2 linked regions of the Macaca fascicularis genome follow. The protein of the gene in region 2 interacts with the protein of the main gene of each other region in a pairwise test. Links are inferred from orthologs where the notes say so. Each region holds a gene or a part of one and is shown on either strand. Other genes may lie near its edges.

What was found. The genes of interacting proteins can lie anywhere in the genome.
Region 1: the proteins of MOCOS (region 2) and PARVA interact in binary tests that used the Homo sapiens proteins (3 or more experiments, as listed by UniProt). The two-hybrid records come from large-scale screens. The link is inferred for Macaca fascicularis from reciprocal best matches to the Homo sapiens genes MOCOS and PARVA.

What each region holds. Positions count from the first base shown.
Region 1 is NC_088388.1:53,393,494-53,397,625, forward strand, and holds the start of PARVA (alpha-parvin), read right to left. Parts: upstream 2,801-4,132; 5' UTR 2,706-2,800; coding exon 2,570-2,705; intron 1-2,569. UniProt on the Homo sapiens protein: Plays a role in sarcomere organization and in smooth muscle cell contraction. Required for normal development of the embryonic cardiovascular system, and for normal septation of the heart outflow tract.
Region 2 is NC_088392.1:53,689,036-53,692,597, reverse strand, and holds part of MOCOS (molybdenum cofactor sulfurase), read left to right. Parts: intron 1-1,014; coding exon 1,015-1,081; intron 1,082-1,969; coding exon 1,970-2,611; intron 2,612-3,562. UniProt on the Homo sapiens protein: Sulfurates the molybdenum cofactor. Sulfation of molybdenum is essential for xanthine dehydrogenase (XDH) and aldehyde oxidase (ADO) enzymes in which molybdenum cofactor is liganded by 1 oxygen and 1 sulfur atom in active form.

The DNA of each region.
Region 1 (4,132 bases), on a different chromosome or scaffold from region 2:
CTATAGTTCCAGTCCAGCAGCCCCTCGTCCATAGCCCCAGCTTGTAATAGGTTCCAATTTGCTTCCCTTGTCCCTCAGGCCTCTGAGTGATTAAGAGCTTCCCCCTGTTGCTAGCCCCTAGGGACCTCAGCATCCCGTCTTAGTTCCCTTAACCCTGCCCACAGCTCTGTCAATAGCCCCTTCACTAAACTATTTTCAAAATCTCAACAAATTGGCCTTTTTCCTGCAGGGACCCTGACTGAAACTAAAGAGACAAGATGCAAAAGACCTTAAAATTATGTCTGTGAGGAATAGAGGATGTTGGGCCCAGTGGCGAGAAGACTCAAGAAAGCAGGATAGCCTACTTCAGCAAGGTATCAATAAAAGGCCACCCCAGACTCATTCTCTGGCTCCAACAGTAATAGGTACAGAGAGATACATTTTGGGCTAAATATAAAATAAACCTTTCTACAGAGTAGGTAAAGATGGTTCTCCTGGTAGCAGATATTTTTTATTGCATGAGCTTCAATATTTCTCAGTTGCCCCATCTTAAACCGGATGAGACTATGTCAGGAATGCTGTAAGGAATAAGTTAGAAACATGGTCTAGAAAAGAGCTTTCCAAGCCAGGGTTTCATGATTTGCCACCAACTGTACACTACTCAGTGGGTTACCAAAATAACCAATGTGGGGAAACTTTCGTATGTTTTTGCTGCTTCTCGTTTCAATCTAAAGAACAGAAGTCTAGTTCTTCAAGTCTGATAATCCTGAACACTGAAGACGTTTTTATACTTTAAGATGACTTACAAACATGAAACATTTTACACAGCATCACAGCTTTCAAAAGGTTATTTCCAATTCACGGGCAATCTATTAAAAACATTTTTTAGGGGGCAAGAGAAGTTGATTAATGGTTACAAATATACCATTTGATAGAAGAAGACCTAGTGTTAGATTGGTAAAGTAACTATATTTTACAATAACCTCTTGTATATTTCAAAATATCTAGAATTCCAGTGGTCTAGCATAGAGAAAAGGCAAATATTTAAGGTGATGGATATCCCAAGTACACTGATTTTGTCAGAGGCATGTGAACCAGAGCAACTCCATCTTGAATGGGGCTAGGTAAAATAAGGCTGAGTGAGACCCACTGGACTGCACTCCCAGAAGGTTAAGGCATTCTAACTTACAGGATGAGATAGGATGTCGGCACAAGACACAGGTCATAAAGACCTTGCTGATAAAACAGGTTGCAGTAAAGAAGTCGGCTAAAACCCAAAACCAAAATGGCCATCAGTGCAGACACTGGTCTTCTGCATTGATACACTCCCACCAGTACCATGACAGTTTACACATGCCATGGCAACGTTACCCTATATGGTCTAAAGAGGAGGCATGAATAATCCACCCCTTGTTTAGCATACCATCAAGAAATAACCATAAAAATGGACAACCAGCATCCCCAGGCTGCTCTGTCTATGGAGTAGCCATTCTTTTATTAATCTACTTTCTTAATAAACTTGCTTTCACTTTACTGTGTGGACTCATCCTGAATGCTTTCTTGTGTGAGATCCAAGAACCCTCTCTTGGGGTCTGGATTGGGACCCCTTTCCTGTAACAACTTGAGCTTTACAAATTATATGAATGTATTAATCACATGTGCCCCAAAACTATGTACATCATGCGTCAATTCAAAAAATGTTTAAAACAAAAAATTTTAACTCAGCAACTTCTATCTACACACCAATCTTCTATCTACACATCAGTGCTTCTTGAGAACTGCCACCTCAGTTTTCAAACCAAAAACCAGGACGCAAAATCTGCCCATGGGCAAAAAATATTCTACATGCAAACTACCCTGAAAAAAAAAAAAAAAAGAATAAGGTCGCCTCAATTCACTCTGGTGGGGCGGGGGGAGGCCCACGACGATGTTTGTGTCTCACGCAGGTTTTCTCCTTTGGTAGGGGTTTATCGTGTATTACACCGAGGGCACGCTAGGTTTGCCAGTTTTTCGCTCATTCATTCAACAAACACTCGATGTCCACCTACTCCATTAACAGGGCCCTTCTCGGCCCTCGGGATGGACAAAAGATCCGAAGAGGCCAACGCCACGACGCTGCTACCACAAGACGTCAGCAGGTCCAGGAAACGACCTGATTTTAAGGACCAATGAAGTCAACGAGTGAGAGTGACGGCGCCCAGGAAAGTTGCGGCGGAAACTTGGGAAATGCCAGCCTTCGGGCGCAGAGGGCGGGGCAGGGCCTACCGGATCGCGCTGCCTGCGGTCTGGGGCCCCGCCTGGGCTACGGTCCCGCCGCCTCCGGCCGCCAAGCGGCGCCTGCCCACTGCCCGGCGGGGGCGTCGGCCTGGTCTCCGGCCCAGGAGGGCAACGCCGCAAGCGGGAGGGGCGGCCTCGATGGCCCGCGAGCCCCAGGCTCAGTGTGGCGCGCGAGTCGCTCCTGCCCGACGTGCCCGGGAAGCGCGTGCACTCATCGCCGCGCGCTCCCGAACGGCCCCAGCGCCCCGGCCCCTCGGCCCCTATGGCACCCCCCAGCTCCTACCGCCCGCCCGGCCTGCCTGGCCGCACTCACCCTCCTTGGCTTTCTTCCTCCGGGCCAGGGTCCCTCCGAGTTTCCCCAAGAAGGAATCATCTTTCTTGCGGGACGGAGGCGACTTAGGAGTGGGGGACTTGGGGACAGAAGGCGACTTCTGCGGGGAAGTGGCCATGGCGCGGCTCAGGCAGCCGCGGGCCGGTCGGGACGCGGAGCTGGCGCTGGGCGGACGCGGCGGGCGGCGGCGGCGGGCTGAGGCTGCGGCTTTCCAAACGGAAGCGGAATTATTCCAAGCATTTGAGGCAGCTCACGCTCGCCTTTCCCTTCCCTCGCTCCCTCCCTCGCTCCCTCCCTCGCACCGCCCTCTGCCCTGGAAGGAGCTGCGCTCCCAGGGCCGCGCCCTGCGCCCCTGGGTTGCCCCAAGCAGGGGGGATGCCCCAAAACTGCCACTTGCAGTACAGGAGGCCGTGTGTGCCCAGGTTGGGAGCGCTCGAGCTGGAAAGCTTCATTTACCCAGGCTCTGCACCCATCACACAGCCTGGGGCAAAGCAAATCTGAGAACCAACCCAACCCTGCTACTCTCCCAAGGTCTTCCAGCCGGGGCTGGTGAGCTCGCTCTTCCCCAGCACTACTGCCTGTGGAGTTATCAGGCCCACGTCTTGCGCCCACAAGACTGCAGCTCCTGGAAGAAATTACTAGAGTGAACCAAAATGCGTCCAGGCCCCACCAAAGTGGGCAGAACCAATCACTCCTGAACCTATCCATGATAGTCAACCTCCTCTTCTCTACTCCCTTCCGAGACTGAGAAGCCTGGAGTGCACAAGGGTAAAGCCGAGGCTGCTTATTTTAAGACATCCGTGTTTCTAGCAGCTTATATAAACGAAGATCACACATGGTAGTGGAAACATGAATGGGAAAAGCACAACCATGAGCTCCTACAGGACCTCCCCGAGAATTTATCCTGCTAAATAAAATCGAGTGACAACCAGACTCATTTGAGATAACAGGGGAGTCACACAAAGCACAGTGTTTGAAGGACTCATACTGGAAATGATTAAAAGGCACGTGTTATTGTGCTTGCCCATCTCAAGTTCTCACTCGGGCTGTTTGTCCCTCTGTCTCTCTCACACACGGACTCACAGCGCCTTGGCAACTGTGTTTCCTCCTTATGGCCCCTTCCCTCTAGGCTACGGCTGATTGAACGTGGGTGAACAACTAATCCAAAGGGCGCTACTGCTTTACTGAAGAGCAGCCGATTGGCTAGCCCCAGTTAAGACTCTGCACTAAGCTGGAGAGACTGTTGTCAGAAGTTGTGCTCGTGACTGATGATCACTCGCAGTCAAGACTGGGGTGGCTGTTTCTAACCACGTGCCTGCTGACGAGTAGGGAAACAAAAGAAAGGAGCAAAGAAGTGTGCTCAAAAAGCCACTTGGTCTGCCTAATGGAAACCGTGGGGAGTAGCTGCTTGGACCTGGAATGTTTTCCCAGACCCCACTTGCACTTCCTGCCAAGGCCAGCTGTGCTTCTTCCCAGGAGCTGTTACTCAGCCTTTTATTAACCCATCCACCTTACCTTAGACTAAATAAACTGACAAGCAACAGT
Region 2 (3,562 bases):
CAGGAATTCAAGGTTATAGTGAGCTATGATCATGCCACTGTACTCCAGCCTGAGTGTTAGAGTAAGATTCTGTCTCTAAAAAAAGCAAGCAAACAAACAAACAAAAAATCTATTTCAGGTGTCCAATAATGATTTTTTTAGTAATTGACCTAGTGATGCAATCATCACTATAAATCAGTTAAATGTTTTCCTTCCCCCAAAAAGATCCTTCATGCCCATTACAGCTAATCCTTGTTGCTGCCCTCAGCCCCAGGCAATTGCTAATCAACTTTGTGTATCTCTTTACAATTCTTTTGCTGGACATTTAATGTAAATTGATTCATGCATTTTGTATATTCTTGTGTCTGGAGTATTTCATTCACCATGCTTTGAAGTTCTTTCATGACATAGCCAGTAGTTTGTTCCTTTTTATTGGCAAATAACTTCCCTGGCTGGGTGCAGTGGCTCATGCCTATAATCCTAGCACTTGGGGAGGCTGAGGCAGGAAGATTGCTTGAACCCAAGAGTTCAAGACCAGCCTGGGCAACATAGTGAGACCTCATCTCTACAAAAAGTAATTTTAAAAAGTTAGCCGAGTGTAGTGGTGCACACCTGTAGTCACAGTTACTCAGGAGGCTGAGATGGGAGGATCGCTTGAGCCCGGGAGTTTGAGGCTGCAGTGACCTATCATCATGCCACTGCACTCCATCCTGGGTGACAGAGCAAGACAGCAAAAAACCAAATCACTTTTATTTTATGGATGTAGCATATTTTGTTTATCTGTTCGCCCGTTGATGGACATTTATATTGTTTCCAGAATTTGGCTTTCTGAATAAAGCTATGAACATTCACGTGCAAGTCTGTATGGACATAAGTTTTCATTTTTGAGGGGTAGAAATCTAGAAGTGGAATTGTGAGGTGATATGGCAGTTTTATGTTGAGCTTTTTGAGAAACTGAGGGAGTGGGTTTGGAAGGAACACAAAAGAAGAGACCCTAAGTAGTGACTCGGTGGCCTTGTCTTTGTAACCTGCCAGGTAATCCTCACAGCCAGAACATCAGCAGCAAGCTCACCTATGACACTGTGGAGCAGGTGCGCTACAGGTAAGCATCAGGGACACCTGCCGAACTGGGCATACCTAGGCAGACAGACTTCCTTCCTAAGACTTGCCTGCATCCCACAAAGGTTCTGAGTTGGTTTCAGGAGGATCACAGTTGGCTAAAAGGCAATGCATGCATGTTGAGAAACATCAGAGTCAGAGCTCAGAAAGGCAGGGGTGAGTAGATGCAATGTAGGGCAGGTGAGAGGCACAGGTAGATGCACACAGCTGTTCTGTGTGGCTCCAGAGACTCTGTAGTGCCAGAGTGACAGGGAGTGACCCAGGATCCCAGGTCTTGTTTTCGGAAAGAAGAAAAGTACTAATTCTCTGGTTTTCCTTTTCATAAGAAGTTTTATTAGGCACCTTGTTTTCTTCCTGTCTTTTTTCCCTTTTTTCCCCCTTTTCTTACTAGTATTTGTATGTTAAACAGCTCTCTATACTTTCTACATGTAATAGTATCTGGCAAATAATTTCCAGGTGGTACTTAAAATTATTAACACAATTTCGAGTTATTTCAAATTTGAAAGTGGTACTGTTTTGGTATTAGGGTTGCCAAAATTAAAAGCAATGTAAACAGGTTGATTACTACTTAAACCTTGTTATGTTAGAGCTGCATAGAAAGCACCAAGGAGAGAGGGTAGTATTAAGTTTATCGTGGATTTTCGTCATACCAAATTGGAGATATCCAGTGATATTTGGGAGGTAAGAGGATTTCGCCAACTGGAACTCGTTCCCACGGCTTCCATTGCCCCTGCTCTAATTTCACAGCTGTGGCAAAGCCTATCTATCCATTCAGGTAGAGATGTCATAGTTAATAGAAACAAAACAGCCTGCAAACATTCAGCGCTGGGGCTGAGATCCGGGGGTTGCGGGGATGTTGTGCTTCTTCCAGAATCCTGGCGCACTTCCACACCACCGCGGAGGACTACACTGTGATCTTCACTTCTGGGAGCACGGCTGCTCTCAAACTGGTGGCAGAGGCCTTTCCATGGGTGTCCCAGGGCCCAGAGAGCAGTGGGAGTCAGTTCTGTTACCTCACCGACAGCCACACCTCTGTAGTGGGCATGAGGAATGTGACTATGGCCATAAATGTCACGTCCACCCCGGTCAGGCCAGAGGACCTGTGGTCTGCAGAGGAACGTGGTGCTTCGGTCAGCGACCCAGACTGCCAACTGCCGCATCTCTTCTGCTACCCAGCTCAGAGTAACTTTTCTGGAGTCAGATACCCCCTGTCCTGGATAGAAGAGGTCAAGTCTGGGCGGTTGCACCCTGTGAGCACGCCTGGGAAGTGGTTTGTGCTGCTCGACGCAGCCTCCTATGTGAGCACCTCGCCTTTGGACCTGTCAGCTCACCAGGCCGACTTTGTCCCCATCTCCTTCTATAAGATCTTCGGGTTCCCTACGGGCCTGGGTGCTCTGCTGGTCCATAATCGTGCGGCTCCTCTACTGAGGAAGACCTACTTTGGAGGAGGCACAGCCTCTGCCTACCTAGCAGGAGAGGACTTCTACATCCCGAGGCCATCAGTGGCTCAAAGGTAACCTTGCCACAGGGGAGGGGCCAGAGGAGTTCAGCAAGGTGGGGGCTGGTCTGTTTCTCCTGGAGGATTATGCAAGAGGTGGGTCTGGCTTTGGGGGTCAGCAGAATTCAGGTTGCTGGCAGGGACAGGCTGATGGCAGGGCTCAGATCTGGGAGGCAGAGGTTGACTGGAGGTGACACAGGTGGTTCAGTGAATTCTGCCCCCATTTGAGAGACTTCTCCAGAGCTGTGAGAGGACCGGGGCCTGCAGATAAGAACTACACACAGGAGAGGTGAAAGGCCCCCACGGTGTAAGGAGGGTGAGCTTCCAGGCCTTTGCCCTCAGCACTGACAAGAGATTGCAGCAGTTGAAGCAGTGGCTTTAAAAGGTGAACCCAGTGGTTTTAAAAGGTGGCACCGTTTGGAATAAGTCTACCCACACATTGACAGCATAGCTGGTTCTCCAGCACCTAGGATCAGCTCAGCCTGGCACCTAGTTAGCTGGAAGAATCAGTTAAAGCAGAGACCCCCAGACTTGTGAGGCAGTGTTAGCAGCAACCTCAGTGAGCCCCACTATGAGTGTTAAAGAGGGAGTCTGGGTACAGGCTGTCACTTGCCCTCAAATGCCAGAGGCCTCTGCCTGGGTTGTTGGCATATGCCTCATCCCCAGGCTGCAAGGGCAGGTGGTGTGAGTTATGCTCAGGAATCTTTCAGATGGTGACAGCTGGGACCTGTAAGGTCGAATGTGTCAAGGCTGAAAATGGTGGCTGACCCAGGGTTCTGCTGGATCAACAGTGGTGACACAGGGTTGGGTAGGCAACTAATCACCTACAGGATTCCGGAGAAGGCCTTGGACATAGATGGGAAGGGCTTTAGATCCCCATGGACCCCACACAGACTCAAGGGTCCTGCATGTAGGGCCATGGCCTTGACAATGGAGTCAGCATTAGCTGTGTATGCCTGAGGCTGG